Xenopus tropicalis: one gene and its partner. The protein of the gene in region 1 interacts with the protein of each later gene in a pairwise test. Links are inferred from orthologs where the notes say so. Each region holds a gene or a part of one and is shown on either strand. Other genes may lie near its edges. The genes, in order: c11orf49 and rab29.

Evidence for each region.
Region 2: the proteins of c11orf49 (region 1) and rab29 interact in a two-hybrid assay, tested with the Homo sapiens proteins (2 studies listed by BioGRID and IntAct). The two-hybrid records come from large-scale screens. The link is inferred for Xenopus tropicalis from reciprocal best matches to the Homo sapiens genes CSTPP1 and RAB29.

Annotation. Positions count from the first base shown.
Region 1 is NC_030680.2:11,489,365-11,493,195, forward strand, and holds part of c11orf49 (UPF0705 protein C11orf49 homolog), read left to right. Parts: intron 1-1,177; coding exon 1,178-1,283; intron 1,284-3,831. UniProt on the Homo sapiens protein: Regulator of the tubulin polyglutamylase complex (TPGC) that controls cytoskeletal organization, nuclear shape, and cilium disassembly by balancing microtubule and actin assembly.
Region 2 is NC_030678.2:73,482,815-73,486,645, reverse strand, and holds part of rab29 (ras-related protein Rab-7L1), read left to right. Parts: intron 1-2,001; coding exon 2,002-2,183; intron 2,184-3,831. UniProt on the Homo sapiens protein: The small GTPases Rab are key regulators in vesicle trafficking. Essential for maintaining the integrity of the endosome-trans-Golgi network structure.

The DNA of each region.
Region 1 (3,831 bases):
TTTAGTGTAATTAGGGAGTGGCCAGTGACGATCAGGGGCATGGCCATGTGTGCAAGGGGCATCTAATATAGGATGTATGGGATCTGTTATTTGGAAACCTGTTATCCAGAACGTTCAGAATTACGGGAAGGCCATCTCCCATACACTCCATTTTAATCCAATAATGTCAACAATGATTTCCTTTTTCTTCTGTAATAATAAACCACTGCCTTGTACTTGATCCCAACTAAGATATAATTACCCCTTATTGGGGCAGAACAGCCCTATTGGGTTTATTTAATGGTTAAATGATTCCCTTTTCTCTGTAATAATAAAACAGTACCTGTACTTGATCCCAACTAAGATATAATTACCCCTTATTGGGGGCAGAACAGCCCTATTGGGTTTATTTAATGGTTAAATGATTCCCTTTTCTCTGTAATAATAAAACAGTACCTGTACTTGATCCCAACTAAGATATAATTACCCCTTATTGGGGCAGAACAGCCCTATTGGGTTTATTTAATGGTTAAATGATTCCCTTTTCTCTGTAATAATAAAACAGTACCTGTACTTGATCCCAATTAAGTGACAATTAATCCATATTGCTGGCAAAACAATCCCATTGGGTTTATTCAATGTTAAAATCATTTTTAGTAGACTCCCAAGGTATAACGATCCAAATTACAGAAAGATCCCTTATCCAGAAAACCCCGGGGCCCGGGCGTTCTGGATAACAGGTCCATAAATATATATAATGTATTGAGGAAGGGACAGAGAGGCACTGCTTTGAATACAAAAAAATTTGAAATTTATATAGGGAATTTCCCTTTTCCATTAGACACATAGAAAGTTCTAATAGAAGGAACCTTTCCGTATGGAATGACAGTCTGGGATAAGAAACACAGAGCGCACTGAGAGAACACAGAACCAGATAGAAACCATATTTGGCCACCATGCGTTTTTCATCAGATTTCTGGCCGCCGGCCAAAGCCCCCGTGTATAGGGAACCCAAGGAGCAGGTGTATGTTTGTAGTCACGCGGCCCCCGACTGATTGGGAATGGCATCTTTCCCTATTCATATGGAACTGGGGCCAGAACAAGAAACCTTATCCTCTCCCTGAGATGCTGCACTCCCATAGGGAGAATCACAGGGGATTTCCGTGCATCGGATAATGATTTCCCCTCTTTCCCACAGCACAGAGGCACGTCCAGGTGTACCTAGAGGATGCACTCGCTCAGCTGCTGGAGAACAAGGACGAGGTCGAGCCCCAGGGCAGCACCGCCAAGTTCTTTGCCCAATAGTGAGTATTTACTTGGTTTAGTCATGGGAGAACTGCCCCTTTAGCCTAAAGGCACTATATGGGATTCAGTAGTAAGGAGAGATAGATAGATAGATAGATAGATAGATAGATAGATAGATAGATAGATATAGATAAATATACAGATAGATATAGATAGATATACAGATACAGATAGATAGATATAGATAGATAGATAGATAGATAGATAGATAGATAGATACAGATAAATAGATAGATACAGATAAATAGATATAGATAGATATACAGATAGATAGATATAATAGACAGAGTGCCGCACACATAGGGACTTGATACAAAAGAAAAAGTGGTTTTATTGAAAAAATTCCAACGTTTCGAGCACAATCTGTGCTCTTCCTCGGGGACAAAACCCACAACACAAAAATAGATAGATATAGATAGATATACAGATAGATAGATATATTAGATAGCGAGATAGACAGAATAAATAGATAGATAGATAGATAGATAGATCAGTAGATAGATTGGCAGATACATAGATAGATAGATGATAGATAGATAGATTGATTGATAGATAATATAGAGAGAGAGATGATAGATATAGATATACAGGTATAGGACCCATTATCCAGAATGCTCGGGACCAAGGGTATTCCGGATAAGGGGTTTTTCCGTAATTTGGATCTCAGTACCTTAAGTCTACTAACAAATCAATAAAACATTAATTAAACCCAATAGGATTGTTTTGCATCCAATAAGGATTAATTATATCTTAGTTGGATTCAATTACAAGGTTCTGTTTTATTTCTACATAGAAAAAGGAAATCAGTTTTAAAATTCTGAATTATTTGATTAAAATGGAGTCTATGGGAGACGGGCATTCCGTAATTCGGAGCTTTCTGGATAACGGGTTTCCGGATAAGGGGTCCGATACCTGTATTAGATAGAGAGATAGACTAGATAGATAGATAGATATATTAGATAGAAATATTAGATAGAGAGATAGACGGAATAGATAGAGAGAGAGATGATAGATAGATAGATAGATAGATAGATAGATAGATAGATAGATAGATAGATAGATGATAGAGAGAGAGATATAGATAGGAAGGATAGATAGATAGATAGATAGGCAAAGATTAAAAAGAAAGGGGTGGCGAAAAATGCTCAACTTCAGTGTTTATGTGACAAAAAGTCACATGTTTAAGGATTCCGATTGGATCTGGCCAGAGCCATGGATACAGGCGAATCCTGCAGAAAAAAAGCCGAATCTGGGTTAAATCTCCAACCAAATCCTGGATTCAGCGCATCCCTATAGATTGGATTAACCTGTTGAGTTGCATCTGGGACAGACCCCCTGTGGTGCCAAGAATTGTATTATTCCAAAGGAAATAAAAATCTGTCTTACTTTTTAATACTATAACCTTTACCTTTACTGTGGTGCAGGGGGATTAGTAGCTGCTACCTGGAGCTGACAATGATTGGTTTGAATTGCATAACTAGGGGTGCATACACAGTGACTGCATTTGTTCCTGTAAGCATAGGAAGCCAATAAGAACTCAGGACCCATCCAGGCCTAAGGTCCTGTGATCCCTGTTCCTACACCCCCAAACACCCCCATCTAACAGTGGTGTCAGGGAAGTGATTGGTGGAGGGGGAAATGCTGTTCCAGCGTTACTGCACTAATTGGCTTTACTATTTTGTATTCAATGTGCTTATTATCTCATTGGAAACTTCCGAAAGGGCTAGTTCACCTTTATATTAACATTTAGTATGCTATAGACAATTTGCAACTAGTCTTCATTTTTTATTTCTCATGTTTTTTTTTAGTTATTCAGCATTTGGTTCAGCAACTTTCCAGTATGGTATTTCAGCAGCTATCTGGTTGCTATGGTCTTATTTACCTTAGCAACCAGGCAGTGGTTTGAACAAGAGACAGAAAAATCAATAGGGGAGAGGGGCTGCCTAGAAAGATAAGTATAAATAACAGTACAATTGTAGCCTCACAGACCTATAGTTTTTGGCTGTCGGGGTCAGTGACCCCCATCTGAAAGCTAGAAAATATCTGAAGAGGAAAGCAAATAATTTTAAAATAAAAAACAAATAAATAATGAAGACCAATTGCAAAGTTGCTAGGGATAGGGCATTCTATAGAATACTAAAAGTTAACGTAAAGGTAAACCACCCCCTTTAGAGTTTCTAATTGTTCCATGATAGACTCTTACTATTTTCTATGTTCCCCCCCTTCCCCTGTCTTTCCCTGCCAGGCTTCTGCCCCATCCTACTAGTTTTCCCCTCCTGATACCCCACGGCCGCTAGTTAATTAGCCTTTCCGATGATATTTATTTCCTGATTTCTATGCCCCAAATCCTTACTAAGCTTCTGTACCCCCCTAAGGGCCTGAACCCCCCTTTCCCCAGCGCACGTCTCTCCGTGACGGCAGGATTCCAGGTCACTTGTTTGATGTTGGCGCTTACGTGAATTCACCTTGAGGGCACTGGAAACATTTAAGGATCTGTAGTTTACACGTTACGCCAAGGGGAAGAAAAAGCCTCTTTGTTCTGCTCTG
Region 2 (3,831 bases), on another chromosome or scaffold:
GTGCTGTTTGGCTCCTGTCTGTCCACATTTCTTCTGACTTGCAGCCATCCTAGTTTTTATTTTTTTATTTTTATGTCATTTATTATTTTGAAGCTTGAATATCAAAGTGATTTAAAGATTTTATAGCAATACCATATTGACTGATTTGGAAACCTTGTTAAAAAATCCTACACTTCCATTCCTTTGATGCCTGTACACAGTCCAGTAGGATATAGGGTATATGCAGTACAGTAACTCTGTGCTAGGAGCAACTGAAATGAGTCAGTCGATTTTTCTACTAAATCAGCGGGCGCAGGCCAGCCCTGTCCTTGCCATCCACCATAGGGCAAACACACAAGAACTGCACCCACACAAGAGCCATAGCATAGGGGGTTATGTAATAAAAGACACTAAGTTCGCCCAAGAGTAGTAACCAATAGCAACCAATCAGCAGGAAGCATTTACTGATAACCTGTTTAAAAGCAATTGTCTGCTTCTGGGCAAACTGCTCCTTGAAAACTTAGTGCCTTTTATTACATTTGGGGGATAGACTTGTCATTTTCTGATATCCTTCCAGTGGTTGTCTACTCAAAAGGTCTGGCACACTGGAGTTTTTAGGCAGCTTTACAGAGCCAACAGTCTCCACAATGGTGTTGCTCACTACATATTTCAGCTTGGCAGTTAAAGCTTCTTCCATACCTCATGGCTAAGCTCAGCAATGGCACCACCCTCCCTGCTCTCCTGGACAATCTTTTTCCCCAATAGGGCAGCATTTCTATATAGGCACCCAAGGGCTCATGCTTAGGGGGCACCTTAGGTGGGTGGCCATCAGGTGCCTATTTAGAAAAAAAATTGTTTTTGAAAATAAAATCCTCCCCCAGCTGGCTAAATTTTGGTGGCTAGCATTTCAGCCTGTGCAAAAACAACACACTGACTATGTTTAATTAAACATAAAAGTCAATTGTATCTTTTTAGAAAACTTTCAGAAAGTTTAAAATTTAAATTAACAGCATTTTTTCGTCACTAGCTCTTGAGTGCCAAGACAGAATGTTCTAACAATCGATATCTGACATCCTTCAAATAAAATGATTATTGATTAGGTACAAAAATATGTGGCATCTGGAGACCCCAGAATATAAAAGTGGATTATAGTTTTCCATTTAAAAACAGACTAAGGGGCATATTTATTAACATTGGAGACAAACATCACCTGCGATGTTAATAAATACGCCCCTGAATGTGTTTCTTTTAAGCTCTTTGAACAGTAAGTTAACCCATAAACAATATCGCTTTGAAAATGACACTTTCTGATTATATGGATAAATGTTAGTTAGTGATTTTTAAAAATGTATAAAATTGACTCAAAATGTTTTGCTTTGGAGCAGCTTATCACCTACCTGTTCTTGGGTACAAAGGTAGTTCACATCACTTTAGCCCCTGAAAACACAATGCACTTGGGCTTATTTATAAACATAAGGCAAATTTGCACTTGGGCAGTAGCCCCTAGCAATCAATCAGTGATTGGCTTTTTACAACCAGCTGTAGGTTGAACTGTGAAAGCAAACATTTGATTGGTTGCCATGGGTTACTGCCCAGTTGCAGATTTGCCCAGTGTTTATAAATGAACAGGGTCAGATTTAGATCTGGGGTGCCCCTAGGTCATTTGTTAAATAACAAATATGCATATGACTACCTAAACTACGTGGCATGTAAAGACCCCAAAATATGAAATGCTTATTACAGTTTCATGTACCTTATTAACAAAAATACACTGAGCTTTTTTGATGCAACCCCTGAGAGACCCAGGGCAGTGAATGGGGGGAACAAGGTAGCATATATATGGGTTTCAACGCAACACACTGGTCTTGTAATTGCCATCTAAGAGGGATCTTTTGGAATTTTGACAGACGCTGCTTGATGTGGCTATTAAACCCCTTAGGACATTTCAAAGCTTTACAAATACGATTCGAGATGCTGGTATTTCAGTTTACATAAAGGCTTTTATTTCTTTGCAATTCACAGGACAGGAGAGATTTGCTTCAATGACCAGACTGTATTATAAGCAAGCATCTGCCTGTGTCATCATGTTTGATCTAACCAATTCAGAGTCCTTTAGAAACTGCCAAATGTGGAAAGATGACCTGGATAATAAAGTGATACTACCCAATGGTGACTTTGTGCCCTGTATATTGCTCGCCAACAAGGTGACTTTATTTTTAGTGTAATGCAAATGTAAAAAACAGACATATCCATATAATGCCCAAAATGGGCACAATAGACATGCTGAAGGAGACTGTAAAACTAATGCAGAAGTTTAACTTATAACTACTTGGGAATTACAGCTCTAAAATACAAAACAAACCCAACATAAATCTGAGGAAATATCCGTGTTGTGAAAATTCACACTAATGGCAGACTTCGCAATGCTTTTTCCAGAGTTAAAGACCGCGACACCCAGAGAACCTTCAAACAGAAAAGTCTGTTCTAGTCACAAAAAAGTTTTTCATAAAGAAAGTATTAATAGTATATAACATAAGTAACAGAAACTCACTGGTTTGTCTTATAAATCAGAATAGCCTGTTTCACTTGCAGTCTGCCTATAAAGGTTTTGCTCTTCTGAAAAGCTCCAGCCACTATTAGGGCAGATTTATTTTCTGCAAATATAGTTCTGTACTCTGGCTTCATTCTCATCTAGACTTGGCAAATTCCACTGCACCATGAGTACTCCATACTTTTCTACTTCCTGCTTACTGGGCAGAGAGCTCCCCTCCACATGAACTGCAATGGTTCATTCAGCCTGATTATACACAGCTTCCAGTGATGTAACTTGGTTGCTCCAGGCCCTTCTGCAGAAAAATCTTTTGTGAGGGATTGACTAGTCCCTCCTTGCGGCCTGACTGCGCCGCACCCTCTGACCGCACCGTTATATTTAAGGTAGGAGAGGAGCTCGGGAGGGGTGACTAAGGTACAGCAGATCACGCGGTCCGGGGCCCCTGTGACCCTGCTGTATATATAGATGACAGCAACTGACAGCTTCTTTTATTCTCCTAATTTGCTGTGTCTGAAGAGATTGTGACTATGATAGATGCCCATCAGTGCTTGATGCTGTGCAAGGGGGTAAGCTTGTGCTTTTGCTCAGTTGGGTTTACTTACAGGACATGGATTCTCGAACTTTGTTGAACTACGAGGCTCAGCATCCTTCCATTAACTGAAGTTTGTCAGAGGATGCAAGTCCTGGCAAGTCGCGTGGTGGCAAGTCGCGTGACGTTTCCTTCTGCAGGCAAAATGCTGCGACTTTGGAAAACCGAAGCAATGCATAGGCCTTTCCACCGGTGATTCCCTTTGTTGCCGGTGGAAAGGCATTTTGGAAAGATAAGTCCAAATGACCTTAGCAACCAGGGTGTGGTTTGAATGAAAGACTAATAAATTGTAGCTTCACAGAGCAATAGTTGTTGCTTCAGGGGTCAGTGACCCCCAGTTGAAAGCTGCAAAGAGTCAGAAGAAAAAGGCAAATAATTTAAAAACTTTGAAAAACAAATAATGAAGACAAATTAAAAAGTTGCTTAGAACTGGCAGTTCTTTAACATACTAAAATTTTACTTAAAGGTGAACCATCCCTTTAAATATAGTTACTGGCACCAGTCACTATATCAAAATCAACTGGCAGCAGTTGCTACGGTCTCTGTAGCAACTGCTATTGCAACTGCTGCCAAGGTACAGTTTAAATTACAATAACTACCATAATATCTCTCTTCATGATGATGGCCTCCATGCAAATGGCTGGCTTCCATGATAGCTGATACCACTGGTTTGGTTTTCACAACGACAATGTTGAATGTATACCATGGCAAC